Linked DNA regions of Ovis aries. The protein of the gene in region 1 purifies or fractionates together with the protein of each later gene. This does not show direct contact. Links are inferred from orthologs where the notes say so. Each region holds a gene or a part of one and is shown on either strand. Other genes may lie near its edges. The genes, in order: JUN, COP1, cyclic AMP-dependent transcription factor ATF-7, DHX9, NFE2L2 and CREB5.

Region 1 (5,277 bases):
TCCCCACCCCCACCGCACTACCTGGCTGACAGTAGCCACTGTTTTCCCTGCTGCAGGAGGGAATGAGGGGCAAGTAAAGGAAGTAAAGGAAAGCTGTCAAGATGTCCCTAACACCAGCTGCTGCTGGGCTGCTGAATCTCAACTCTCAAAGCCACAAATACCTTAAAGCTCCGGGCTATGCAAGCTCAGAAGCTGAAAAGCCAGAATTAGGACCTAGGGACATAAACTGCTGCAGGTCCAACGTCAAACCACGGTCCTGGAGAAAACCCTGGAAGGAGCTGAGTTCTGACCCTTTCCTCCCTCACCCTCCTCACAGGTTAAATCCACCTGTTCCTGCCAAGTCACACTCATATCCTGGCATTCCATGGACGCTCCGGAAGCTCTGACCAAGGGCAGGGAAGGGGGCTGTTGGTGACCACCTCCTAGCCCTGGAGACAATGACTCTACACTAAGCCAGGCCTATGAGGTGGGTCTCACCAGCCCCACTTGCAGATGAAGAAACTCAGGGAAGTTCTCTGATTCGCTCCCTTCACATTGCGGCAGCGTTGGCCAGGAGAGAACCCACGACTCCAGACTTCGGTATTCTTTCCACCGTACACTTTCGTCCCTAAGGGGCGCGGGGTTGGGGGAGGAGAAGAATAACCACCACTGAAAAGGAACCACTTACATGGGTCTAGCGCTTCCTAGAGGCTACACAGGATATGGGCCCACCCCCCAGCCGGGAGCGGAGAAATTTTAAATCTTTATTCTACTCACTCGCTGCGTGACTTTTGGCAAGTGTCTGCTGCTCTCGGACTTGTTTTCCCGGAAGCAAATCGGGGCGGGAGGAGTGGCGTGTGCGTGTGTGTGTGTTTGTGTGTACATGTGATGTGCGGTGTGTCTATGCATGTTGTGCGGGGGCGGAGAGTAGACTATCACCGGGGTTCCCCGAGTTTCGGATTCTCCAAACGCTCGTTCAAACTAGACGCCGAGTTGCCCCTTAAATCCACCTCCTGTAAGAAACCTTTCCGAGGCAAAGATGCGAACCCCCGCACCCTTTCTCCCACGGTCGGGAGGGTGAGGTGGGAGTGCGGAGGGGACTTAGCCGAACACCCAGTTTCAAGCAATGCAAATCACTGGACTTCCAGACAGAGCCAGACAGTCGCTACTGAACTTGACCAGGAGACAAACTTCAGGGCATTCTCAACGTGGGGGGCCGACTCTCACGAACTGCCCCCAAATTTAAAAGCCACTTTCACTCGCCCCCACAGGGGACTTAACAGAGCCACCTTAAGGGCGGTGCTCCCGCCCCCCGGAAGTGCGGGGGGGCCAGGAACCCAGGCGCTCAACGGGCCCGGCCCGCCCCGAGCGGCGGCGAAGTGCCCGCGGGTGACATCGAACCCCCAAGTGGGGAAATACCACCCGCCCCGCGCCCTCGGCCCCAGACACCTGGCTCGGTTCCCCTGGCCTCCTGGGTCCTAGCATCCCTGGCATTCCCATCCGAGCCCTAAACTTCAGCCCACTTCCCTCAGAGGCTGGGAGCGCCGGAGTCCGCCCGGCTCGCGGCAGCCACCGTCACTAGACAGTCAAACCCCAAGACGTCAGCCCACAATGCACCGGGCGGGCCGGGAAAGACGCGTCGGGGAGGGAGGGGGAAGAGAGGGGCGCGAGTCGCGCGGAGCGGGTTGGGGGGAGGAGGAGAAAGAAGGGCCCAACTGTAGGAGGGCAACGGAGCATTACCTCATCCCGTGAGCCTCCGCGGGCCCAGAGAAGAATCTTCTAGGGTGGGGTCTCCATGGCGACGGGTGGGCCCGCCCCCCTGAGAGCGACGCGAGCCAATGGGAAGGCCTTGGGGTGACATCATGGGCTATTTTTAGGGGTTGACTGGTAGCAGATAAGTGTTGCGCTCCGGCTGGATAAGGGCTCAGAGTTGCACTGAGTGTGGCTGAAGCTGCGAGGCGGGAGTGGAGGTGCGCGGACGCAGGCAGGCAGACAGGCACAGTCAGTCGAGAAGGACAGCAAATCCTATTTTCCAATTTCTCTCCAACTGCCCGGAGCTAGCGCTTGTGGCTCCCGGCCTGGTGTTTTGGGGAGCGCCGGGAGAGCCCCTTCGCCAGCCGCCCCCAGGCGGAGAGCCCCGCTGCGCGGGCGCTGCTGACAGCGCGGAGAGCGGCCACTGTCCGCCCGGGGAAGTCCGGAGAGCGGCTGCAGCGGCAAGAACTTTCCCGGCCAGGAAGACAGGAGACAAGTGGCCGCCGGGTCCCGGAACGAACTTTTGCAAATCTTGCCTCCGCCCGAAGCTGCCGCGGCGGCGGTGAAGAAAAAGAGGCGGCGGAGAGAGGAGGACGTGCGCTCCGCTTCGCTCGCACCGGTTGCTGAACTTGGGCGAGCGCGAGCCGCGGCTGCCGGGCGCCCCCTCCCCCTCTCAGCGGAGGAGGGGACAGTCTTCCGAGTCGGGGCGGCGGACACCCGCCGCCGGCAGGCAAACGCGGGGTCCGCGCTCCCTGCTATCACCGGGAAGCGAGTTCGTCCGCGGGCTCTGAGGAACCGCTGCGCTCGAGAGAGCTCCGTGAGTGACCGCGACTTTTCAAAGCCGGGCGGCGCGCGCGAGCGGACAAGTAAGAGCGCGGGCGGCGTCTTAACCCTGCGATCCCCCGGACCGAGCTGGTGAGGAGGGCGCCGGGGGCGGGGGCTGCCAGCCGGCGGGGGCGCGCGCTCTTCCAGAAACTTTCCTTGCTCACTGCCCGGGGAGGCGCGGGTGTCCCCCGCTTGCCAGCGCGCTGTTGCGGCCCCGAAACTTCTGCGCGCAGCTTAAACTAAGCCCACGCGAAGTGACGGACTGTTCTATGACTGCAAAGATGGAAACGACCTTCTACGACGATGCCCTCAACGCCTCGTTCCTCCAGTCTGAGAGCGGCGCCTACGGCTACAGTAACCCCAAGATTCTGAAGCAGAGCATGACCCTGAATCTGGCCGACCCGGTGGGCAGCCTGAAGCCGCACCTCCGGGCCAAGAACTCCGACCTCCTCACCTCGCCCGACGTTGGGCTGCTCAAGCTGGCGTCGCCCGAGCTGGAGCGCCTGATCATACAGTCCAGCAACGGGCATATCACCACCACGCCGACCCCCACCCAGTTCCTGTGCCCCAAGAACGTGACGGACGAGCAGGAGGGATTCGCCGAGGGCTTCGTGCGCGCCCTGGCCGAACTGCACAGCCAGAACACGCTGCCCAGCGTCACGTCGGCGGCGCAGCCGGTCAGCGGGGCGGGCCTGGTGGCCCCGGCGGTGGCCTCGGTGGCGGGCGGCAGCGGCAGCGGCGGCTTCAGCGCCAGCCTGCACAGCGAGCCGCCGGTCTACGCCAACCTCAGCAACTTCAACCCCGGCGCGCTGAGCAGCGGCGGCGGGGCGCCCTCCTACGGCGCGGCTGGCCTGGCCTTTCCCGCGCAGCCCCAGCAGCAGCAGCAGCAACCACCGCAGCCGCCGCACCACCTGCCCCAGCAGATACCCGTGCAGCACCCGCGGCTGCAGGCCCTGAAGGAAGAGCCGCAGACGGTGCCCGAGATGCCCGGGGAAACGCCGCCCCTGTCCCCCATCGACATGGAGTCCCAGGAGCGGATCAAGGCGGAGAGGAAGCGCATGAGGAACCGCATCGCTGCTTCCAAGTGCCGGAAAAGGAAGCTGGAGAGGATCGCGCGGCTGGAGGAAAAAGTGAAAACCTTGAAAGCGCAGAACTCGGAGCTGGCGTCCACCGCCAATATGCTCAGGGAACAGGTGGCCCAGCTTAAACAAAAAGTCATGAACCACGTTAACAGCGGGTGCCAACTCATGCTAACGCAGCAGTTGCAAACGTTTTGAGGCGAGACTGTCGGGGGCTGAGGGGCAACGGAGAAAAAATATAAATAACACAGAGAGACAGATTTGAGAACTTGACAAGTTGCGAGAGAGAAACAGAGAAAAAAACAAAAGTGTCCGAGGACTAAAGCCAAGGGTATCCAAGTTGGACTGGGTTGCGTCCTGACGGCGCCCCCAGTGTGCACGAGTGGGAAGGACTTGGCGCGCCCTCCCTTGGCGAGGAGCCAGGGAACGGCCGCTCGCGGGCTGCCCGGGTTTGCGGACGGGCTGTCCCCGCGCAAACAGAACGTTAGACTTTTCTTTAACGTTGACCAAGAACTGCATGGACCTAACATTCGATCTCATTCAGTATTAAAGGGGTGGGGTGGGGGAGGGGGTTGCAAACTGCAATAGAGACTGTAGATCGCTTCTGTAGTACTCCTTAAGAACACAAAGGGGGTGGGGGAGGGGAGGCGGGAGGGAGGTTTGTGAGAGCGAGGCCCAGCCTGCAGATGAGCTCTTTCTGGCCTGCCTTCCATAACTGTGTATGTACATATATATATTTTTTAATTTGATGAAAGCTGATTACTGTCAATAAACAGCTTCATGCCTTTGTAAGTTATTCATGTTTGTTTGTTTGGGTGTCCTGCCCAGCCTTGTTTGTAAATAAGAGATTTGGAGCACTCTGAGTTTACCATTTGTAATAAAGTATATAATTTTTTTTATGTTTTGTTTCTGAAAATTCCAGAAAGGATATTTAAGAAAATACAATAAAATATTGAAAAAGTTACCCCTCCCCCAACCTCTTTTCTGCATTATCTATAGATTACTTGTCTAGGTGGAGTTGAAAGAGTTGAGTGTCAATTAAAATCACTGTGGGTGCTTCTTACTAGCAGGCCCTGAAAACTGTTGTCTGCTTGACTTGAGAAAGAACTGCAGCTGATGCTGTCATCAAGTTAATACTTTTCCCTCCCCAGCAATCTACATAGAGTTGCTTACCAAGGATAGTGTGCCATTTCAGGAAGATGAGCGAAGGGAGGTTGTGGTGGAGATGGACAGCCCACTGGGAAATCTAACATTTTAGTTTGGATTATATCAAGTGGCATGTGCTGTGACCATTTATAATGTTAGTAGAAATTTAAACAATAGATGCTTATTCTCAAAGCAGGAACGGTGGCAGATTTTTTACAAAAGCTGTATGCTTCCAATTTGGAATCTTCAACGATTCCTAGATAAAAGAGATGGTCTTTGCTTATGAATATTTATAACAGCATTCTTGTCACAATAAACGTATTCAAATACCAATAACAGATCTTGATTTCCTTTCCCTTTTGTCCTTTTTTCCTCCCAAGTTCTATTCTGAAGCTTTTCTTTTCAGTTGCTGGGGTTAACATTATGAAGTTATTTGGTAATTAAGAAGCAAAGAATTTAGGAAAAGTCAACACAGAAGTTGCAGTCTGGATGAAAT
Region 2 (4,483 bases), on another chromosome or scaffold:
GCTACTTCTCTTTGATCCGAAACTTTTTGGAGGGCAATCCAGTCATGTCATTTCTCTTTTATAGAATAGGACAGCTCTATCATTCAAACTACTGCACAATTGCACTCATTTCACATGCTAGCAAAAGTAATGCTCAAAATTCTCCATGCTAGGCTTCAATAGTACCTGAACTGAGAACTCCCAAATGTTCAAGCTGGATTTAGAAGAGGCAGAGGAACCAGAGATCAAATTGCCAACACCCGCTGGATCACAGAAAAAGCAAGAGAATTGCAGAAAAACATCTACTTCTGCTTCATTGACTACGCTAAAGCCTTTGATTGTGTAGATCAGAACAAACCATGGAAAATTCTTAAAGAGATGGGACTACCAGACCGTCTCATCTGCCTTCTGAAAAACCTGTATGCAGGTCAAGAAGCAACAGTTAAAACCGGACATAGAACAAAGGACTGGTTCCAAACTGGGAAAGGAGTACGTCAAGGCTGTAGACTGTCACTCTACTTATTTAACTTACATGCAGAATACATCATGTGAAATGCTGGGTTTGATGAAGCACAAGCTGGAATCAAGATTGCGGGGAGAAATACCAATAACCTCAGATATGCAGATGACACCATCCTTATGGCAGAAAGCGAAGAGGAACTAAAGAAGGTGAAACAAGAGAGTGAAAAAGCTGACTTAAAACTCAACACTCCCAAAACAAAGATCATGGCATCCAGTCACAGATGGGTAAACAATGCAAACAGTGACAGATTTTTATTTTCTCAGACCCCCAAATCACTGCAGATGGTGACTGCAGCCATGAAATTAAAAGACCCTTGCTCCCTAAAAGAAAAGCTATGACAAACATAGAAAGCATATTAAAAAGCAGAGAGATTACTTTGCCAACAAAGGTCTGTCTAGTAAAAGCTATGGTTTTTCCAGTAGTCATGTATGGATGTGAGAGTTGGACCATAAAGAAAGCAGAGCTGAAGAATTGATGCTTTTGAAATGTGGTGTTGGAGAAGACTCCTGGGAGTCTCTTGGGCTGCAAGATCAAACTAGTCAATCTTAAAGGAAATCAGTCCTGAATATTCAATGGAAGGACTCATGCTGAAGCTGAAGCTCCAGTACTTGGGCCACATGATGTGAAGAGCCGACTCATTAGATAAGACCCTGATTACTGGGCAAGATTGAAGGCAGGAGGAGAAGGGGACAACTGAGAATGAGATGGTTGGATGGCATCACCAACCCAATGGACATGAGTTTGGGCAAGCTCCAGGAGATGGTGAAGCATAGGGAAGCCTCGTGTGCTGCAGGCCAAGGGGTCGCAAAGGGTCGGACACAACTGAGAGACTGAACAACAACAACAATCATTGTGAAATAAAGTTTCCAACGCTAGAGCTACCCCTGCCTATCTATTCACTAGTCTGCAAGTTACAGATGGAAAGGAAGGAGAGGGCCAAGATAAAAGAAATCTGTTAACAGGGCTTTATAAATCTAATCTTGAGAAAAAACAGGCCAAAAGAAGACAGTAACGGGAAAGAACAAACAGTAAAGACAGATACACACACCACACACACACACATACACAAAAATAGAAAGATCAATGAAATTGGCAGAAAGAAATATAGAATTTCTGCCTTGAAACATGATTTACTTCATTCAAAGATTTTGGTATACACTCAGAATTTAATACAATTCAGAATACAGTGATGTCTAAATATTTCAACAAAAAAGTTCATTTCACAGTATATGTACAGGAACTGGTTATAAATACATCACAGGCATGAATTCAGAAAAAATTATTATAATGAAGATGCAGAATATTCATTTTTCTTTCACTCCAAGAAATAAAGATTTTTGTGCTTATTAGACTATTTTTAGAATAATCAGTAATCGCAAAGGATCACTATGGGTTTCAATAAATATGTGTATTTCTGTTAGGTTTTAAAAGGAATTAATTCGGGGGGGAGACCCAAATAGTACCTTTTGCATCATCAGAACCTGAAGCCAAGAGTTTAGGATCCATCAAATTAAAGTCAACACTCCAACATCTCTTCTCATGTTCCTAGATGTAGAAGGAAGACAAAGTAGTCTCAGAATATAGATCTTAAATAAAGCAAAACAAATAAACATAGCTGATACCAATTTATCACTATGGTGGGAGGGAGAAAGAACTGGCTATGAAAATAAAGGAGATGCAAAGTAGCTCCATAAACTTTTTAAATATACATTTATAAAATTACCACTTTTGGAAATTCATCCTACAAATGCAAAGAGCATTACTGGAATTACATAGGTAGACGGTTGGATGGCATCCCTGACTCGATGGACATGAGTTTGAGCAAGCTCTGGGAGTTGGTGATGGACAGGGAAGCCTGGGGTGCTGCAGTCCATGGGGTCGCAAAGTGTCAGATATAAATGAGCGGCTGACCTGAGGAACTGCTGCTGCTGCTGCTGCTAAGTTACTTCAGTTGTGTCAGACTCTGTGCGACCCCACTGACGGCAGCCCACCAGGCTCCCCCGTCCCTGGGATTCCCCAGGCAAGAATACTGTAGTGGGTTGCCATTTGAACTGAGGAACTGAGGAAATGCTAAACAATGATTTTAAATTTGTAATTATAAAATGCATGAAGCTCTATAATTATTAAAAAGTACAAATGTGATTCTTGCAACAAGCTCCAATATTTTGGCTACCTGATGCAAAGAGCTGACTCACTGGAAAAGACTCTGATGCTGGGAAAGATTGAGGGCAAAAGGCAAACGGGATGACAGAAGATAAGATTGTCAGATGGCATCATCGACTCAATGGACATGAGTTTGAACAAACTCTGGAGATAGTGATGGACAGGGAATCTGGTGTGCTGCAGTCCATGGGATCGCAAAGAGTTGGACACGACTGAGCGACTGAATAGTAACAACAACCACAGGTAACTAGTATTCTTATTTACCTGATAGACCTTTGACCTCTGTCCTGTGAATCCATCCCATAGGATGACGGTGCCTTCATAATCACTGCTGGCTAATAGGTTCTTATGATAACTACTCCAACTGATACAGCTGAAAGAAAGGGATATTAAGTTAAGCCTTATTTTACATAAAAATAAATAGCAATGGATACAAAGAATTTGGACGTGTTCAAAAAGATTAGAACCCTTTCAAAATGGTCTACATAAGTTCACAATAATTATTTTGCCCACAATCCATCAAGGAAGAAGGCATCAAATAATTCCCAGAGTATTCAATTGAAACTACCAAGTCACAAACCATAACCACTCTTCACTCTCATCACCAGCTAGAAGACAGATATGGTGTGCCTAAAGTTGCTACTGGCCATCCTTGACACATGAAAATACATGTCTGTAGGTGGAGATAACAGAGGCCAGGGGGGCACACGTATGTCATGGCAGAGACACATGAGGAATACATGTCTGTAGGTAGAGATAACAGAGGCCAGGGGGGCACACATATGTCATGGTGGAGACACATGAGGAATACATGTCTGTAGGTGGAGATAATAGAGGCTGGGGGGGCACGCGTATGTCATGGCAGAGACACATGATGAATACATGTCTGTAGGTAGAGATACAGGGGCCGGGGGGACACACATATGTCATGGTGGAGACACATGAGGAATACATGTCTGTAGGTGGAGATAATAGAGGCTGGGGGGGCACGCGTATGTCACGGCAGAGACACATGAGGAATACATGTCTGTAGGTGGAGATACAGGGGCCAGGGGGACACACATATGTCATGGCAGAGACACATGAGGAATACATGTCTGTAGGTGGAGATACAGGGGCCGGGGGGACACACATATGTCATGGCAGAGACACATGAGGAATACATGTCTGTAGGTGGAGATAATAGAGGCTGGGGGGGCACGCGTATGTCATGGCAGAGACACATGAGGAATACATGTCTGTAGGTGGAGATAACAGAGGCTGGGGGGGACACACATATGTCATGGCAGAGACACATGAGGAATACATGTCTGTAGGTGGAGATAATAGAGGCCGGGGGGGCACGTGTATGTCATGGCGGAGACACATGAGGAATGCATGTCTGGAGGTGGAGATAATAGAGGCCGGGGGGACACACGTATGTCATGGCGGAGACACATGAGGAATACATGTCTGTAGGTGGAGATAACAGGGGCCGGGGGGCACACGTATGTCATGGCAGAGACCAAATCAGACCCTTCAGGGCCCTACTTCCAGTTTTGTCAGATCATATAAGCCAGTAAACTGGTCTGAATTGAGTCTCTGTGTTTACAGGCAAATGTTGACTAATGTAAGTGCATGACTCAAATTTCAATAAAATGCATTTAACAGAATTAAACTTCTAACATTTACAGTTTCGGCTATTCTCAAATGTTCCAATATTGAGAATGCAACATCTAAAAATATATGCTTTTGGTTAGACATATATGTGCATCACACATATAGTAAAGCTAATGTATATTAAAGAAAAAGTCACTTAGAAAGCAAAGCAGCTGACCT
Region 3 (5,264 bases), on another chromosome or scaffold:
TTGAGTGCAGTGAAAAAAGAAGCCCTACTTGCCCCTGTACTTTGTATTGATCAGATTATATCAAATGTTATATTCAGATCTAAATAAGAAATTCTAAAAACTCAAGCAGGTTGACAAGGAGGCTGAACTTTATTAAATGTAACTTAAGGAATGGTTGAAAGAATATGCGATATTTACCCCAGCAAGAGAGAAGTTTTAACAGGACATAATGGCAGGAGTACAGAGCACCACAATGTAAAGAATGTTCTAAAAGTAGAGCTCCAATAATGGAACAGGGTATCTATGAAGTAGAGATCGCTTCCTTACAGCATTCAGAAGTTAAAAGATCATCCACCAAACATTCAAAAATGATGTATTTCCACATTTCAAGAATATACTTGATCCTAAAAATAGGCCTGCTAGGGGAAGGCAACATTCAAAAATGAGAATATTAAAAATCATTTTGTCATGTTTCTGGAAATGGAAGACTTTCTCCCATGAACTCTAAAATCACAGTACCACAATCAGAGAAACCAACAACAAAAGAAATAATGTTTTTCTTTTTAAATGAATGCTGCATTTGTTTTTCTCAAAGAAACAACACATGCACCTTAACTTATGTACCTTTATCATGGGATAAGGGACAACTGTATGCCAGCCTGCCAACTAGTTTCAAAAAGAGAGCTGTTTTTATTAGACATTTATATGGCAATACTATTTGCTCCACCTAAAACTTCCTTTCAAAAAGGTTCCTCCTCTCAGACATGGATAGGAGGCTGCTGTATCACTGACTCCCTTCAACTGCAGCCTAGGAAAAACTCATTCTTGACGTGTACAAAACAATAACTTGTGAGAATTTCAGAGCAGCTGTGTTCAGGCAGAGCCAGGGACTTAAAGCAGCAGTTTGAGAGTTGGTTGAAAAAACAAATTTAATTTTGAACTGAAAGTAAGAAAGGAAAGGCGAAGAAAGAGGGAGAGGAAAGGGACGGGGAAGAGAACGGAGATATACAACGGTATCTATCAACATTTTAAAGCCATGGTAAGCAAAAATGCTTAAAAGTTACAACACTGAAACTATCACAGGTTGTACCCTTTGATCCACAAGTTTAAAGATGAGCAGTGTTTATTATTCTCTAGCCTTCTGCTAGGTGGTAACACTAACGAGACAGTGCTCAAGTCAAAGCCATCACAAATTCTAGAATGGAAGAATAAAACAAGGAACTTTGCCCTCTCACTGGATATTTCTTTGTGCTACTGCCAGGCAAACTGTGAAAATGTCTGAATATCCAATAGCAATGCTCTGAATGTGAAATACTGGAACCCAATTAAGTAGTTAATGCTATAAGGACAGTAATTAATTAGTCTCAATGTGCTGTAGGGGTAAGTTCCTGGCCAGGAGGATAAATGGTTGCTGAAAACCAAAAGTTAATACGAAGCAACACACTCTGGTTTCTCTTCATACAACACCGTTGCTAGTATTTCAGATGTCATTTTGCTTCCAAAAGTAAAAGAAGAAAAGGAATGTAAAAGACAAATTTATGCAACAGCAAAGAAGTTATTAATGGACTATACTAGCTCATTATTAAATAATAAACAAATATCAAACAAAGGGCAAAGACTTGTCCCTTTTTTGTACAGAATTAAGAACTGGTAAGACTACTTAGTATAGCTGCCAGACTTTTCTTTAGCTTCTTTTATTACTGACATGTTACATTTCGCAATAGTCTCCACTTACCTTATATCCTCCATGTTTAAGCACAAATTGTGTTTGATTTCCCCAACCCTTGCCCCCAAGATATTATGACATATCTTTAGCTTTCTGATCTGGACACAAAAGAAGAAACTGAAAATTTTTCACTTTCCTGAAATACGTGTCCATTTTATTTACACCACTTAAAAAAAAACCACACATAAGCTAGCTAAAACTAACTGCAACCATCCATTTAGCAACTCAAGTGGGAAAGAAACAATTAACAAAACAAACCAGTATAGTACATTTTTCTGTGCTTAGAATACCTAAAAAACCGATGTCTCTGCAAGAATTGATTACACTACTGCAAAGTTTTTAAACATAGGAATCAAGTGAGATTGTGGAGAAAACTCTGCATACCCCCACAAAACTACACTTACTATGACACAACCCTCAGAGGTACTAAAACACCCTCTGGTAAGTAGAAAACAAACTTTACAGTCAGGAAAGTAGCAACGCGGGAATCTGGGTAGGAGGTGCCCTGGGCAGTAAACACCCCAGTCAGAGAACATAACAAGCAATTCAGAGCAACATATAACTCCCGATGGGGCTTTGACTTGGCCACTGAAGTCCCAAGCCCCCATCCCTGAGCTGAGGAACAGATGAAGTCGGGAAGAGGAAGAGACGGAGAAAGGAAATCAGAGTAGAAGTGATGAAAGTGTTCTGTTTTTCTCTTTACCACTATCCTAGCTTTCTTGCAGGCTGGTTACCAGACTGGATGCCATATTCACCAAAAGCTCTAAAATCACTTCTCAGACTTCTTCTGATACCTAAGCTAAACACCTGTCCATTATCAACCGTCTCCCAACCAAATACCTCTCCTACCCCTCTGGATTCCCCCATACCCTACCCAAAGTGATGCCTTTTGGCCACTACACCCACCCCTATTAAATCTTCCTAAACTCATTCACTTAATTTTCTTCATGCCCATACTTTTCCTCTGATATCTTGTCCCTGATAGTTTTTCTTATAATTCAATCGAAATGCCACGCTCTCACTTACACTTATTCCTCCCTATCTTCCCAGCAAAACCAAATGCTATGTTTTCACCTACTCAACCCTACCTCCTGCCTATTACCACTAACTCTTCCAATGCCAAGCCTCTAACCCCACTCTTTGGAGAAGTCCAGCGTCTTCAACCAGTTTAGTACCCTTCCCCTTTCTCCCATTCCACCCCATTCCAGGCTCCACTAGACTTCCATTCCCTCAGGATTCAACTCCCCTCTCCTTGCCACGCCCTGTGCCCCCCGGGGCTACTTACCCCAAGTTCTCCCCACACTTCAGGCCTCTGGCCCCGCCTTCCCCCCCCAAAGGAAGGAGGCGGGAGGAGGGAGAGAAGAGGGGCGTCACTCCGCAAGGTAAAGATGACCTCCCATTAGTGCTCGTCGCCGCCAATTGTAGCTTCCTTCTCTCTTATTGGTCGGCCTTAGCCCATGCCCCACCCTCTTCCTCAGACAGGGCCCGGCCACCGCCTCAGCGCCCCCGTCCAACACATACTGGGAGGGGAGACCCCGGTCTGGGACGCTGGGATTGACCAGAGTTGACGGGGAGACGCCCGTCAGGTCATGGACTAGTTAATGTTAACAGGACTCACCCTCTGGTAGCTCCGTCGCCTCCCGCCCGCCCGCGATCGGTCCCACAATCTATCTCCAGCTCCTTCTTTCCCCCCTCAGCGGAGCAGATACTTTTCTCTCGTCCGGCCAGGCGCTCTCACTTCTCGCGAGATGTAGAGAGGGGTTGGAGGAAGGGCGAGATCCGCCGAGCCAGGTCGGAAAGAAGCCGAGGGGCCGGGCTCCGGAAAAAGAAGGGGCGGGACTTTCGGTGGGCAGGGCTAGGGTGGGAGGCAGAGCGAGTTCCCGAGGCGCTGGTCACACGTGTTCGACTGCATAGTGTAAGGGGAAAAAAAGAAAAAGAAGGAATGCTTACAGGTGCCTGTAGTAATGGAGATCCAAAGTATTCTCATACTAGAGAATTAGATTATTACAAAAGAGCGCACTTTAAAAACAAGACAAGGTTATATACCTCAATAAAGCTGGTTGGTTTTTTTTTTAAAGAACAGGGGAAGGGAATTCCCTGGCCTACCAGTGATGAGGACTCCGCGCTTCCACTGCAGGGGCCACGGGTTCCAACCCTTGGGAATGGAACAAAGATCCTGCAAGCCCTGCGGGACGGCCAAAAAAAAAAAAAATTTTTTTTTTTAATCGTTTTTAAACTGGGGGAAAACCCGAGACAGCTACACAAGGTGATTCAGTGTTCCAAGGAGTCGAGTAGTTGTATTTTCTTCTTGGCACTTAGAATAGCATCACCGTAGCCATAGTCTCTGTTCTGTGTGTTGCTGTATATGGAGGTGGAGAGTTCTATCATTTTCTTTTGAGTATCTTTATAGTGGGGCCAACAATCCGATTTTACTCAGAGTTGTAATAATCAAATGAGATAAGCTATATGAAACTTGTTTGGTATTAAAAGGCACTATACTTATTACTCAGAAAGTATTTAAACAAATACTTAGAACATACTGTGTGCAAAGAACTAGGCATGGAAGAAGAGTAGACATACCAGTTCCCTACTCCGGTAGAATTTACAGTTTTAGCGGGGAGGAGGTTGTTGTTTAGTCACTAAGTCACATCTGACTCTTTGAGACCACATGGACTGTAGCCCTCCAGGCTCTTATGTCCATGGAATTTCCCAGGCAAGAATACTGGAGTGGATTGCCATTTCCTTCTCCAGGGCATCTTCCCCACCCAGGGTTAGAACCCGCGAAATCTTTACCATGAGCCACCTGGGAAGCCCTTCCCTGGGGAGGGGGAGACAGTTAATAAACATAAATATTTCAGTTAGTGAAGAATGCTTTAAGGTAATGAGACAGAAAGTGACCAAGAGTAGGAAAGCAACTTTACTTCTGTATTGAGAGACCTCACTGAAGAAGTAACCTTTGTACTGAGTTGAACTATGAAGAGACAGCTGTGGCATCAAATGTAAAGGCTATATTTAAAATTTTCTCATGTTGTTACCAAGGTGGTAAATTTTATATTGTGCAGTTTTTTTGTGTTGGTTTTTTTTAACCACAACTAAAAAAAAAAAAAAAAAACTTTTAAAATGTTATGTAATTATAAAGAGAGTTAACTCAAAAAATATTACCTATGGAATCTGTTTTCTCTCAAACTTCCTTTTGCGGCTTTATATTACACAAATTTCTGAACTTCATGCCTAGGATCTCATTTATCTTCCTAGCCTCTGAAATGTAGACAGAATCCAGGTGATTTCTCCCTATTGTACAATTGTGCTCATTTTACATGCTAGCAACGTAATGCTCAAAATCCTTCAAGCTAGACTTCAACAGTAAGTGAACCGAGAACTTCCAGATGTACAAGCTAGATTTAGAAAAGGCAGAGGAACCAGAGATCAACAACCACTGGATCGTAGAAAAAGCATGGGAATTCCAGAAAAACATCTATTTCTGCTTCATTGACTATGCTAAAGCCTTTAACTATGTGGATCACAACAAACTGTGGAAAATTCTTAAAGAGATGGGAAT
Region 4 (4,483 bases), on another chromosome or scaffold:
CATGAGAGCACCATTTCAGGAGCCATCCTGTCTGCTTGAGAATTCAACTCTACCATTCACTAGCTGGAAGATCTTGGGTTTTAACTTCCCTGTGCTTAGTTTATTCATTTATATTAAAAGGGATAATGATCTACCTACATCACAGGTGGATCAAGTATTAAAGCAAGCGAATATCAGAAAAGCACTTAGCACAGTGTGCCACAGCTAAGTACTATGTTTGATTAATTCAAAGGAAAAGTTAACTCAGTTATAACCAAAATGGAATGCCAGAATCCATAAAGCACACAGCATTTCTGTATAGTAAGTTAACACTTTAAAACCAAATGCAGTTAAGTGATTTTTGATGGGGAGATTGAAAAATATTTTTGAATGACAAATTTTAATGACTGTATATTAGATACTATTATTTTAACACATTTTTGTGTGTGACTTATAGCTATGTTCTTAAAAGATACATGAAGCATACTAATGTAAAATGTCATAACACCTGCAACTGAATCACAAATGATTCAACAAAAGTATGTGTGTAATATATATATGTATCAAAGCAAGTGTCACAAAATGCTGACAATCATTGAAACCTAAGTTAACAGAGTTCACTGTACTACTGTTCTGCCTTTTCTACAGGTATCAAAAATTTTGAGAGTAAAAGGCAGTGGGCAAAGAAAATTTTTAAAGGTGAAAAAAAATGAGGCAATTAGAACACTTTAAAGATTAAACTCTGACGCTTTTCATTCGAAGCAGCAGCAATTTAAGCCCTCATCATTTTTCCTGTAGAGATGGCAAAGCAGTTGGGCCTGTCGCTTTTTTTCCTGTCATGGGACCTATCCTGGACTCCATATGTACTTCCAAGGTCTCTATCTTTAGCATGCACTGGTGTAACATATCATTAACACTCTTTCTCTGAATGTGTTAACCAGAACTAAACTTCATTTAGAATGTGTATATAATTTTAACTTAAATAACAAGGCCTCCATAAACTAAATGTAGAGTAAGATTACTGTCTCTTCTGCTTAGTTCAAAGAAAGTTACTGTGGTACCCACCGTGTAGTGCCAATCATAAGGTTGATACCAGCAGCTGAGGGCCGAGAGATCTGGCGGATTGTGTTCAGCATACGTTCATTAACAGGATCCAACTGGCTGATGATACCAGGCTGTTTGGTTACTTCAACAACCAGAGCCTCCATGGCTGCTCGAAGAGCAGTGATACAGGCAGCAGCTTCATGAGATATTTGCAATCTTATCCTAAATTAGGGAAAAATGATTAAAAATGAGAGGAGGTACACACAGAAAAAGACTATTATCTCCCAATTTCACCCATGGCAAGTGATGGGATAAATTTAACTTCTTTTCCAAATGTAATGGCCCTAGATTTAGCAAACACAGGTATGAAGAGTAACAATAAGTTAAACCAACTTCTTAAACTTCACTGCTAGCTACTGGCAGGAGTTGTGAACCATGAAGTCTACCAAGTGAAGTACGCTTAGCCATACAGATCACTTCAGCCTCCAATAAAAGAATGAAATGAGAGACTACTAACCATTAAGTTCTGTCCAATTCTGCCAAGTGCTTACTACACAGACACCACTTGTCTCTAAGCAATATGGAGTGTACATAAAAAAAGAGGCATCCAAATTCCAATTAGATTTTAACTCCTCAGTATGGTATTCACGGTGGTGGATGGGGCTCCAATGAGTAATGCAGCAGCCCCCAACCTTTTTGGCACCAGGAATCGATTTTTGTGGAAGAAACTTCTTCCAGACTGGGGTGGTGGTGGGGATGGTTTGGGATGATTCAAGTGCATTACATTTACTGTGCACTGAATTTCTATTACTACCACATCAGCTCCGCCTCAGGTCATCAGGCCTTAGACCCCAGAGGGTGGGCACCCCTGATTTACTGCATCTGCCTCTACAAGTATAATCAATTTGAGACTTCACTATCAGCTACAAATCGTAAGCCTAGGATATACTCCTCTAAGAAAAGACAGTGTTACACAACACATTGTTTATGCCATCGAATTCTGCCATATTTCACAAATAGATTAGCAGCTGAATTCCAGTACATTTCAATTCTAAGAATTCAGGTGAGTTCACATCTGAAAATCCATACCAGTCGTCTACAACCACAAGCTGTCCATCAGACATAACTTTCTTGGAGGCAAAAAGCAGCAGCTGCAAGGGGGTGACTAAGGTCATGCCTTTAGCAGAGATGGCCCGAGTTCGAATCTGAAGATAAAGAGGCAAGAGGAAAAAGTTGACATTCCAACTGTCAATCAACTACCATATAATAATAATGAACTAAAACCCATGTCCCCACTACACATTAATAAAGTAATCTGGATTTTAAATGTAGAAGTTTTCTAAACCTCCCTTTTCTTACCTTTTCACCAAATACAAAGAAGGGAGATGGGTACTTCATGTCTTGGCTGCTAAAAGGACAATTAACAGATGACTTGTGGATAAGTGCATTACGCCCTTCAGTGGTGAGAATCTTTCTCTTTTCCTTATGGTAACACACATTGGGGTACACACCAAAGGCCAGGAGAGAGATAACAACATCCAGATTATTGTCTGGTCCAGTGTTAGTAAACACTTGTGTCAGTAAACACTCTGTAAAGAGGAAGGAGAGTAAAAAAAAAAAATCAAGTATCTGGCTAATTCTAACATTGAATTTACCAAAATTAAATGACAATTATAAGAATTAACTCCTCCCTCATTCTCTTTTTCAAATAACCCATCTCACTGCCTCTGTTCTTAGCATTCTCGCACTCAGATTAATGCAAGGAGAAATTTTGCTGAGTCTTCACAATTTTAGTAAAATTAAAACATCTGTTTTCTTTTGTAGACACAACTAAGCTTGAAGTACTTAAAAACAAATGCCCCAATTAACCATCTCCTCTCAGATTAGAGCTAGACCGGTATGACCAGTATTTCACCTGCTGCTCTTAAAAAGCTGTTCCTTCTACAGAAGATGACCAAGAGGAACACACTAGAAAAACGCTGCTGTTTTCACCCAAAAAATGCTTTGTGCCCAGGCCATCACATGGAAAATATGATGGTAAGAGTGTGGATAAACTTTGTTCCAAAAAGCCTGTATACCAGTCTTATAAACTTCTGAACTGAATGAATGTGGACAAGTAATTTAAACCTCTGGCCAGCTGCCTAACCTGTAAAATGGAGGTCATATCTGCATCTCAGGAATTTTGTAAAGAGTCTATCATACAAAAATGTCCTATTTTCCTTTGATTTTTGAAAGTACAAATTTAGTCAGTTTACAACAGAAGAAAAATGTTTAGTTATTTAGATATGGCCCAGAAGGTAGTCCTTCTCTCTCTCAACTAGCTATTTCTGGTTATGTGTTCCAACTCTCAATATTTCAGAAAATTAACTCTGTCTCAATCTAGCTGGAGAAGTACAATTGTTCAAATTCACACAAGAAATGAACAGTTGGATTACTATTCCTATATCAGATATCAAAGTCCTCTATGATTAGCTATCCATTAAAACTTACTCAAAGCCAATTAAAATTTAATGCAATAGAGTTTACTTCACACCTAAGAATGAACAGATCAGCAAATTAACACATCACTTCAGAAACCACTACCTGAAGTAAATTCAACAAACTGCTCATTCTAGAAGTGCAAAAAGCTAGGCCTGTTTTTTTACAAAGTAAATGGATCAGAAATAAAAACACACCCTTCCACCTAAAAAAAGACAGTGATGTGTAACTGACTCATTTTGCTGTACAGCAGAGCCTAACACAACACTGTAAATCAACTACAATCCAATAAAAACAAAACCTCCTAAAGCAGCACAACTCTCAAAACATCTATTCATCATCTGTGTACAAAACTGTAATTTGAACATTATAACCTTTTGCATCCTTAAAAAAAATTCAATTAATGTGAAAAACTGATTATCACCAGAGTTCAAAAAACTAAGAAATAGCTAGGAATACAAAAAAAACAAAAGCCTTATGTTTAAAGCTAAAATATACTGGGACTGTCAATGTGAATGTTTAATATTAAGGTACTTTAGATATGAGAATCTTACCTTCTGGAAATCCAGAATTAATGAGAATCTCTTTGAGCTGAACTTTGGCTTCCCAGGTCATTCTTAGTGTTGCCATATTGAGTCTTTTGTGCTCACAAAAACGTATCTCGGCTTCTTCTCCACCCATTCTAAACAAACAGGTTAAGAAGTTATGCTCAAAGCCTAAAGAACTAGACACAGACTACAAACTAGACAGTTCATTCAAATCTTACAAATCTTTGTCTTTCAAGCCCATACCTAGCATCATCCCAAGCCTGGAATACTGATAAAAGGGCCACATGATCAGAAAATCGGTTTCCAGCAAAATTTCGATGGATATAACCCAGTCGCTTCCCTTCACTGATGAAAGGCTCTGGAAAGCAGGTGGCCGCAGAGATGGTGCAAATAGCGTCTCCCACACTGAAAGAGACGGGAAAACTCGGTCCAAA
Region 5 (5,283 bases), on another chromosome or scaffold:
TGGCACACAAGTAAGTGTCCAATAACTCATCTACGATTATCTGAGTGCCAAACTCCTGAATCCAAGAATATGCACTGACGAGTGAACCCCAGATGAAGGAAAAATCAAAGAAGAAATATTTACGCAAACCCCCCTTTAAATGTGTTCCGCCAGTAGAGAGGAAATTCCCCGGGGAAAAAAAAAGTGCTTCTAGCCCACAGAGGTTTCTTTTTCTCATGTAGCTCTGTAAGTAAAATTCGTGTATTTAGCTTTCAATTCTTCCTGATTATCCTAAAGAAAGTCAGATTTTGGGGTTTCCCCTCCCAGCACTGTTTATAAAAACCCAAGTTGACAAGAAAGAGTCCAAAATGGCCCATGCTACTTTTAATGCAGACTGATGTGAGTTACGTTTTTATCCTACTACAATCTTTCACAATCTCTCAAGAGGTTTTTTTCCAAATATCTAAAAAGTCAAGTTGTTCTTTGCTCAACCTTCTGGAGATGAGAGGGAGGCCTTATTTTTCTTTGGAAGTTACCTACCTAGTCCAAGATCAACTTCATTCCTCATATGCAAAAATACTTTCTCCAAGACAGCTTTGAAAAGGGTAGATGATTCCTTCCAGAAGCTAATGGAAATTCAGAATGTAAAACTCTACTGCTCTTCATCAACACCTCCTTTGCACAAAGGGGGAAGAACTTTTACCCCCGTACCACCTCCTGCCTGGTGTTTCTTTGACAAGAGGTTAGAATCCACTTATGACTCTGTCCAAATCTTCCTGGACTACAAAGATTTAATATGAATCTTAGTTACAGGCATGACATTAACTCTAAATTTTATTCCATTTTCTTTTATACTCTTCGCATATGCAAACTGAGGTCTGATTACAAAGGGTGGAAAGGGAGTTACCTTAACAAACATAATTGGAAAGTTCACATTTAAAAGAAAAAGCAGTAAAGATGTTTACCCACTTTTGTATATGGAATGGTAAATTATATAGTTAAGAAAGAAATAAAAACTTCAGTAATATACCCCTCTAGGCTACATTCCTGAATCTGGGAAAACTAGAGTCCATTAGCATCATATATCCTTTGGTCATATAGATTATTAAAGAAATGGCTATAGGGACTGAACAGCAGCTGAATCGGAAAGCACAATTTATTTCTTCATATCGTGGGGAGGAAGGAACACAGTCTTAATCACTACTGGGGGAAAGTTCAAGACAACAGCTTCCAAGGGAAAAAAAAGGCACAATCACTACATTGTCAATATATCAAAACCTTACTTCAGGATTAGTCTAAAGCTTGATGTTTAAGAGCTTAAATATATTTACCGTTCCTATTAGGTTACACATTTCCTTGAACTAAATATTTTTCCAAAAAACGCATTCACACGCACAAATTGGAAATAAAACTATCTACTCCTTTAAAAAGTCCCTACAAAATATACACAGAAACTTGTTCCCACATTTGCGACATTTACAGAACTTGTTAGCGAAGTTTTATGAGACACAGCTGTCCCACCCTCTGCCCTCTCAAAAGCAACATACTAGGAAAGCAATTGAGGCAAATTCTCAAACAGAAAAGGAAAACTACATAAAGCACCCAAAAGAGAAACAATGTATGAAAGCGCAACATTTAGTAACAGCCTAAAAACAACAGAAATGCTAATCTACACTCGAAATTCTTACCCTTGACAGCAGAGAACAGAATATCCTGCCTTACACATTTTGGAATTGCAATTCCGAAACGCTAAATCCAAAGACAAAGCCGCCCTAGGGAAAATAACAATTGCGCAACAGATCAACAGCTCCAACTTGTCCCTTGGCCCCGGCGCGGCAAGGTTTGCACGCTACAAAGCAGGAAAGGGCCCACTGAGGGCCGCCGTGACAGCCAACCGGCCACTGTCACGGCGCCGGGACGACGCTCGCGGCGTGCGCCACCGGGAAGCACAGCGCCGGGATCGAGAAGCCCCGGGGAGCTGGGGTGGGGTGGGGGGCGAAGGCCCGTCGGACTTCAGAGTCCACCGCCCCACCCGCCCTTGCCGGCGTATTGCTAGGGGCCGACTCAGAGTTCTAAGAGCCCGAACCCTTCCCTCGGGGCGAGGCGGCGCGCAGGGCAGGGTTCGATCGCCGTACGTCGGGGAAACCGAGTGCGCTGGGCGCTTGGTGACCTCCTCCTGCCCCCACCCTGGGAGCTGGGCATTTTCGCCAAGCGGCCTCAGGGCGATCGCAAGGCTGGAGTGATTGATCACTCTGCCTAAGAGAACCCTCAGCAGGGTAAGAGCGCCGCGGCTCGCGCCCGCGGAGGTCTTGAGCAGAGGAGCAGCGGCAGAGGAGGGGTTCCGGGTCCCAGCCCGGAGACCTCAGTTCCCCCGAGAGTGGCCCCGTGACTAGGCACATTTTTGCCGGCTCCGAGGCGGGGGAGCCGCGCAGCCCCGGAAGGGCCGGGCCGCGCCGGCTCAGACCGCCAGTGTCCGCCCTCTCCTACCCGGTTGCCTCCCGGCCGCTCAAACTCGGAGAGGGGGCCGGCCGCGGCTCCAGCATCTCGGCTCCGGCGACCGGGGACGCGGTTAGAGACGCACTTCGCCCCCACGCGCGCTGGCGTAGCCCCCCAACCCCAACCCTACCGCCCTCGGGGGCTGCGGGCGCGTTGTCAGTCACACCATTCCCCGCGCCCCCATACCCCTCGCAGCCCTTGGGGTCGCCACTCCCCTCCCCCGGCCCCAGCTCAAGCGCGGCGGCTCTGGTGTGTGCGCGGCAGCTGCAGTCCGCTCCGGCCACAGACGGGGAAAGAGGCCGATGCGGCTGTCCCTCCCGGGCCGCGGCTCCCTCGCGCCCCTGCTCCCGTCCTGGCACCACCTGCTGGGACGGCAGTCCCGGCGGGGGCAGCTCCAAGTCCATCATGCTGAGCTGGGGACGGTGCTTTGAGGCTCCCCGACGGCGGCCCTGTTCCGGCTGCCGAGGCTTGGAGCGGACACGGCGGTACTGGTGGCGGCGGCGGCTCCTGGGGGATCCTAGGAACTCGCTTCTCCCTGACTTGGCCGGAGTCGCCGATCGGGCTCTTGTCCCGCTCCGCCTCCCGCCCCGCGAGGGCGGGGCGAGAGCCCAAGGCCCTTCCTTCCCCAGCCAGCCGCCCGGGCCGACCTTCCGAAAATCCCCCACCCTCGCCGGGCTGACGCAAGAAGCTGGCCGTCCTGGGGCGGGAAAGAGTTGCGGGCGGGGGTCTCAGGGGCGGCTGCGGGCAGGCAGAGTGCCGGAGGAAGGCCCCCGAAGCTCGCCTGCCTCCGCTGTCAGTTTGCCCTTCTAGCGAATACGGCCATCGCTCCCCGCCCGTGGGATTGAGTTGTTTGCCGAAGGTCGCTGGGGTTCGGGTGCTTTGAAACAGTTTAAACAGTTGAAACAAACATGCTTGGAGACTCGGCAAAGGCGATGGTATCGGAGCTGCGCCTCCCTGCTTTGGATTTGCAGAACCTTGCCCGGCTTTCTCTCTCCCCACCGCCCGAGAGTGGCGCCAGCCCGGGGGGTGGGGGCCGGAAGCCGGGACCTGGGCCCAGCTCACGGCGAGCTGCCCTCTCGCTCCGGCTCAGCCAGTGAGACTGGCCCGGGGGAAGAGTGGACCGCGCGGGGAGCTCGTGCTCGGTCACCCTGATCGCCCTCCACTTACTCCCACGCCTTGCACTCTGGCCAGGCTTCAGTCCCCGAGGGCGAATGGAGAAGTCTCTTTGGATCGGAGAGTGGTCGAGCTTGCCCATCCGGAGCATTCTCTTCCCACCAGAGTGCACACGCCACACCATAGATGGCGATTTTTAACCCTGTTCGATATTACAAACGTGTCATAACCTCTAGAAGTTTTCACGTACTCAAGATACGATTTTAAAAACAAAAACGCAAAAAACAAGTTATAAAACTGTGTAGTATGGACCCGTTCTGTGAAAGCATGTACCTAGAAAAAAAAAAGTTCTTCAAAATATTACTAGTAATATTAATAGTTGCAGGACCTTGAATGATTTTTATCTCTTTGTTACTTTAAGTATGTTTTAAATCTACGATAAATGTGTATTATTCACTGCACCTTAAAAACAATTATTTAAAAAGTAGTCAGTGCCCAGAGCAAACTTCAAGTACTTGAAAACAGGAATATTGTGAAATCTTATGATTTAAAAAAGAATAGAGAAATGGTTTAGTTTTGTTTTCTCTTATGCAACAGCACTCTTTCTAGCTCTTTAACAAGCCTGATTTTCAGTTTATCACTTCTTCGAATTATGCAAAACCAGGTGGAGTAGACAGTGTCTGGCACTGGTTTTACTATTTCATTCAAAAACCTGACGCCAAAAAAAGAAAAAGAAAACCATAAAAGCCTGACTACAGCAGACCAACGCCCCCAAAGCTGCAAAGAACTTACTTTCTCTTGGTTGCGTAATTTGACCCTCCCAGGACTTACCTGTTGATTTATATGTTGGAATATTTCTTAAGGTAAGTGAAGCCTAAATTAATTGCCTGTAATTGAAGTAAGTTTCTTCAATTTGAATTAAACTTTCAGCTGTTAAGTGAGAAGGCTGCAAAATGATCTGCACACTAACAACAAGCTCAGGAGAAGTGATTTACAGTGAACCTGACATGGAATATGCAGAGACATTATGAAATGACATTTCTGTGTCAAAGAATGGCACCAGAGTATATTGCTAACAATTCAAGTTACTTATTAAAATTAGTACATGGAGAAGGTAGACAGAGAGCACAGGAGGCAGGCAATAACAAAGTCATATACGACATGATGGCTGCCCTCCAGCGGCTTATAAAATTTGGTATTTCCTTGTTGGGCAACAAATTTCCGTTGAGTTTAGACTGAATAAAATAAACTTTACTTTTGCAAAACTGCAATTACTGGGAGTATATTATTTCAGGCACCTGCAGAGTACATATTTTCAAAGGGAGGAGGACAATACAATAAGAGTCTGAACATGTTTAAGAAAAATTAAGGAAACAGCTAAAAAAAAGCTGTTTGGCATTAAATGGGGATTCAGCACAAGAGGAGGAAACCCCAGTCTCAGACCACCCACATCAAGGAGGTTGCTGGTCTTTGCAGAACTCTGATCCAAGATCATATCCATGTGAGAAACGAGGCCTTGCCCTCTAAACTTGAATGCAGTGCCATGAAGGCACAGATACTGTGCACTGAGAAGTTCCAGGATGCTGGGTTTTCTCTCCTGTCCTGTTGCCATGGGAGTTATTTTACTGACAGGCTCTCCTTGCTATTTTATTTTCCCACTCAATTGGCTTCACATGCTACTAACCTGTGTATGTT
Region 6 (4,483 bases), on another chromosome or scaffold:
ACTCTAACATCCATCACCGAACCTTTGTCTGCCTGAAATTGTTACTCTTTATATTTTTAATATTTACTCTTATTTAGAAGATTGCCCACTGTATTTAATTTCCATTTTACAGGTGACACAAGTGGGTCTCTAAGATGTTATAAAGCACTGCAGCTAGAACCATGGTTAGAATGAACTTACCTTCCTCGTTCTTTATTCACTTCTTTCATTACATGCTTAAATTCCTAATCCTCCATTGGTGTTACAGTTTTAGGGTTAACTTTGTAATATACTACAAAAATAGATTCTGGAGAACTTAAGTTTCCCTTTTCCCTTAGAAACTAGACTTGATATTTATCATATTAGTTATGGAAAGTGCGATCTGGGAGGGTCCTATGGGTAACCATTACCTCCTAGGAAATGAACAGAGTCCCTCAGAGTGTTAGAACACGTGGGCTTGTCAAGTAAGGTTGCTGCCAACGAGCCCGTCATTAGAGCCGGCACTGTTAATGAGAAGAGGGAAAGAGATAATGAAAAAGGTCTACCTGTGCTTGGTTGCCGGAGTGCAGGGGTGGGTGTGGCGAGGTCTGGTGGTGTGCTGGGTGTGCGTGAAGGTGGGAGTGGGAGTGATGATGTGGGTGGTTCTGCTGGTGATGGGGCTGAGGATGAGGGTGGTGCGCTGGGTGCTGGTGCTGGTGCGGGTAGGGGTGGTGGGCCGGCAGTGTCTGGTGCTGGTGAGGGTGTGAGTGCATGTGATGGTGCGGCGTCTGGTCCTGCCGGGAGCCCATCATTTCCATCATGTGTCCCATGGTGTTCATATTCCCATTCGACATGGCGGCAGGGTGGTGAGTCAATGCAGCCTTCAGCCTCTGAAAAGAACAAAAGGAGAGGGGACGGACACAGTCAGCTGTGTATACAACAGGGATCTCAAATCAAAATGACTCATAGTTTCAAGTTTATAATATTTAGCAGCTTCCCGGGTGGCTCAAGTGGTAAAGAATATGCCTGCCAATGCAGGAGGCACAGGAGGTGTGAGTTTGATCTCTGGGTCAGGAAGATTCCCCTGGAGGAGAAAATGGAAACCCATTCCAGTACTCTTGCCTGGATAATCCCCATAGACAGAGGAGCTTAGTGGGCTACAGTCCATGGGGTTGCAAAGAGTCACAACTGAGGGGACTTAGCATGAACATGTAATGATACTATTATTAACATTTTTTTTCTTACTGGGTAGCAGTATGGCTTTTATATAAATTTCAAATTTTCATATGTATTAGAGTAGGTAAGTGTGTCAATGTCAGCCAGGAATGTTAATTAATTCAACTGACACTGCAAATGAGCAGGATACCCTAGACACTTTACTAAAAGGTATTTCCTACTATCCAATTGTTCGCTATATCCTATTGACAGCCAAGTGCAAGTATAAACCCAATGGAATCATTCAATATGACAATATCAGTGAACAAAAGGCCCATATGAAATGGCACTGTCTCAAGAATAAAAGATTTTTGCTTTTCAAAAGATTTCTCAGACCCAAAGAGGAAAGAATTTCAAATTTCAGAATCTAGGAACAATTTTAATATTATTTTAAGTCTTCAAATTAGATTAGAAATCCACAACTTTGGGAGGCAATGTAGATCTTTCCATTTGTTCCTATGACACTTCTCATAATCCCTCTGATAATCTAATTTTCTCACACAATAATGTTCTTCTGATTTTAAAGTTAAAGAATATGGACCATTGCACTTCTACAGCTTCTGTGATGACCATACCACAGGGCAGGTACAAAATCATCAACCATCAACAAGCAAACAGACATTTACACAATTAAATTCTCCCTGAATCTAACCCCTAAGCAGGGGTCAGCAAGCTTTTCAATAAAGAAGTCAGATAGTAAATATTTCCATCATTGCATGCCTTAAGGTCTCTCACAACTACTCAGCTCAGCCCTTTCAGCACAAAAACAGATATGGACATTCTGTAAACATATGACCATGCCATGTTTCAACACAATTTTACTTAGGGACAGGATATATGAATTTCATATAACTTCCACATGTCACAAAATACTATGCTACTTTTGATTTTCTTTTTCAATCATTTTAAAATGTCAAACATTTTTAGCTCCTGTGCTGTGCAAAATTAGGCCGTGGTAAAGAATCAGTTGGTAGTCAAGTTGTTTGCAGTCTTTTACCCAGACAATTATCGTCATACCCTGAGGGGCACAGTGTACTAAGTATTGTATAATACAGTTACTCCTTGGAAATGTATCTTCTGCAGAGATGATAGTCTAGTTGGCAAGCTTATGTTGGCCTCATGAAGTATTTACTAGGGAACTCAAAGTTCTCTCCTGATTTGCATTCTTATCTGATTGATGATGATAGCCTGTAATCACTGCAAATGGAAGAGCGGTATTTAAATGACGATCAAAGCTACCATGTGCCAGCCCTATGCAATATTAATGATTCTCAACTGGGCAGAGTAAACTATTGACAAGGATAAATTCAATCCATAAAAATCTTTACTTAAATATAAAGAGCCTCCACTTGTTTAAAAAAAAAACACATAAAAAACAGGCCGGCAGGCAGGGGTAGGGCCAGGTAGAGGTTGACAAACCATATGTTAATATTCAATAATCATTGAATACATTTCCTGCATCTGATGCAGCAACCACTGAGCGCAACTGCCTCCCCCTTCACAAGCAACATCTGCTACACAGGAGCTACTGAACTGCATCAGTATCCTAAAGAAGTTAGGCTTCCTGAATCCCTGGGAAAGATTAGGTGCTGCGTATTGTGTTTATTACTAAACAGAAAAGTGAACAGATACTCCTCACCTCCAAGCTTTAGAAATGAGTTCATTGTTTTTATAAAAACGCTCATTATAAAAAACTCAAGTGACACTTAAAAGTACAGTGAAGTCAGTAACCAGTGAACCAAGTGCATTGCTTAAATTTGGTGGGTGGATGGTATTCCAGACAGCTCTCTCTGTAGAGATGGAGCAACAAGTCGAGTCATTTCATAACAGCGGGATCAAACCCTTATTTGAAGAGAACATAAGCAAAAGAAGCAAGAATTGGATGAATTGCTGGACTTCAGATATATGTTTCTTAAATCCAAGAAAACTCTGTAAGTGATACATTCAAACTTCAAAGTGAAGAAAATTATGAAAAAATATATTGAGATCATTATTTTGAAATTGACATACCAAATAGTATTGATGGATTTTCTATACTATTCTTTATAATTTTATTATTATAAAATATAAAGCTGCATAGTAAAAAAAACACACTACTACAAGACTATGTGGTGAAAAAGTAAAAGCCACCTGCCTACCTTCTTCTTTCTTAGCCCCATTCCTCAGATGTAACTACCAAGTATCTGCTGACATATCCTCAGCATTTATCAGAACGTGTTGTGTAAGCTCTTTATAATGATATATGATTTTGTATCTTGCTTTTTTTCTACTTCAACAATATATATCTTTGACAACATGCCCTATCAATAATAGCTAATAATAATGTCTGGCATCAATTGAGCACTCACTCTGGGCCACTCCTCATTCTGTGTTGTATGAATATTAACTCACTTAATCCTCAGAACAATCCGGCAAGGCACAAAGACAGACTAATCCATGTGCCCAAGCTCTTGCCACTGGAGAGGAGCAGAGGTGAGCTACCTCCAGACCTGTTCTCTACACCAGGACAGAAGGAGCTGGAAGGCTTGCCATGCACACTTTGTCAAAAATGGGAAAAAATTGTATTGTGCCACCTCCCTATCATCAAAAGGAAATGCAAAAAGAAGAGAAGTGCCCAGAAAAAAAAATGACAAGATTATTTCTGCACAGTGTAGCACACAAGTGGAGACCCAGTGTATCTTGCTTGTTCTGAAACTTGGCAGAGGTAAGGGGGGGGAGGTAACAATCTCCAGGCAGCTCAACTGCAGCAAAGGACCATCCAGAGCTTAGCATCATCATCTCTTGTGTTATATTTATTAAGAATGGGTACTTATATTCCACCCCCAAACACAGATCTGACAAGGTCCAGGTATATTTTCTCCCTGGCCCCACTTCCTAACCTTCAGGTATATGACTGTTCTATCTTCTCCCTGGCCCCACTTCCTAACCTTCACGTGTATGACTGTTCTAGGTCTTTTCAATGTTCAGGGGATGAAGTTCAAGCCCTTAACACAGCCTATGCATAGGCACTGAGGAGTGTGGCCTGGCACTCCCACCAACGCTTCCATCTCATTGTCTTTTTGCCTGGGACGATCTTTCCTTTTCCTCAGACACTCTAGAGCTTTAAGCAGCAGGACCCTCTTTAGTAAAATTCTCCCTGGTCTCTGCTCTAAACCAATTCCTATTGTTACAAAGTCCCAGAAGAACCATATTCCTCTTTGTAAAACTCAGTGTGTAGTTGTAGTTTTTAGTATGATCATTCAATTAATATCCACCAACCATCCCAGATTATAAGCATCATGACTGCAGGAACCACGTTGGATTTTGCTTG

The links.
Region 2: the proteins of JUN (region 1) and COP1 purify together in Homo sapiens (affinity purification with western blotting; 9 studies listed by BioGRID and IntAct, counting the BioPlex papers as one, with this or other methods). This does not show direct contact. The link is inferred for Ovis aries from reciprocal best matches to the Homo sapiens genes JUN and COP1.
Region 3: the proteins of JUN (region 1) and cyclic AMP-dependent transcription factor ATF-7 purify together in Homo sapiens (affinity purification with mass spectrometry; 3 studies listed by BioGRID and IntAct, with this or other methods). This does not show direct contact. The link is inferred for Ovis aries from reciprocal best matches to the Homo sapiens genes JUN and ATF7.
Region 4: the proteins of JUN (region 1) and DHX9 purify together in Homo sapiens (affinity purification with mass spectrometry; 3 studies listed by BioGRID and IntAct, with this or other methods). This does not show direct contact. The link is inferred for Ovis aries from reciprocal best matches to the Homo sapiens genes JUN and DHX9.
Region 5: the proteins of JUN (region 1) and NFE2L2 purify together in Homo sapiens (affinity purification with western blotting; 4 studies listed by BioGRID and IntAct, with this or other methods). This does not show direct contact. The link is inferred for Ovis aries from reciprocal best matches to the Homo sapiens genes JUN and NFE2L2.
Region 6: the proteins of JUN (region 1) and CREB5 purify together in Homo sapiens (affinity purification with mass spectrometry; 5 studies listed by BioGRID and IntAct, counting the BioPlex papers as one, with this or other methods). This does not show direct contact. The link is inferred for Ovis aries from reciprocal best matches to the Homo sapiens genes JUN and CREB5.

Annotation. Positions count from the first base shown.
Region 1 is NC_056054.1:33,493,292-33,498,568, reverse strand, and holds JUN (transcription factor Jun), read left to right. Parts: upstream 1-1,905; 5' UTR 1,906-2,825; coding exon 2,826-3,833; 3' UTR 3,834-4,599; downstream 4,600-5,277. UniProt on the Homo sapiens protein: Transcription factor that recognizes and binds to the AP-1 consensus motif 5'-TGA[GC]TCA-3'.
Region 2 is NC_056065.1:56,630,116-56,634,598, forward strand, and holds part of COP1 (E3 ubiquitin-protein ligase COP1), read right to left. Parts: intron 3,039-4,483; coding exon 2,930-3,038; intron 2,048-2,929; coding exon 1,966-2,047; intron 1-1,965. UniProt on the Homo sapiens protein: E3 ubiquitin-protein ligase that mediates ubiquitination and subsequent proteasomal degradation of target proteins.
Region 3 is NC_056056.1:132,902,873-132,908,136, reverse strand, and holds the start of cyclic AMP-dependent transcription factor ATF-7, read right to left. Parts: upstream 3,428-5,264; 5' UTR 1-3,427. UniProt on the Homo sapiens protein: Stress-responsive chromatin regulator that plays a role in various biological processes including innate immunological memory, adipocyte differentiation or telomerase regulation.
Region 4 is NC_056065.1:63,382,271-63,386,753, reverse strand, and holds part of DHX9 (ATP-dependent RNA helicase A), read right to left. Parts: intron 4,455-4,483; coding exon 4,293-4,454; intron 4,184-4,292; coding exon 4,056-4,183; intron 2,613-4,055; coding exon 2,383-2,612; intron 2,229-2,382; coding exon 2,113-2,228; intron 1,246-2,112; coding exon 1,045-1,245; intron 1-1,044. UniProt on the Homo sapiens protein: Multifunctional ATP-dependent nucleic acid helicase that unwinds DNA and RNA in a 3' to 5' direction and that plays important roles in many processes, such as DNA replication, transcriptional activation, post-transcriptional RNA regulation, mRNA translation and RNA-mediated gene silencing.
Region 5 is NC_056055.1:132,850,983-132,856,265, reverse strand, and holds the start of NFE2L2 (nuclear factor erythroid 2-related factor 2), read right to left. Parts: upstream 3,031-5,283; 5' UTR 2,883-3,030; coding exon 2,838-2,882; exon of another isoform or gene 2,488-2,837; intron 2,353-2,487; exon of another isoform or gene 2,115-2,352; intron 1,698-2,114; exon of another isoform or gene 1,668-1,697; intron 1-1,667.
Region 6 is NC_056057.1:68,888,992-68,893,474, forward strand, and holds part of CREB5 (cyclic AMP-responsive element-binding protein 5), read right to left. Parts: intron 849-4,483; coding exon 525-848; intron 1-524. UniProt on the Homo sapiens protein: Binds to the cAMP response element and activates transcription.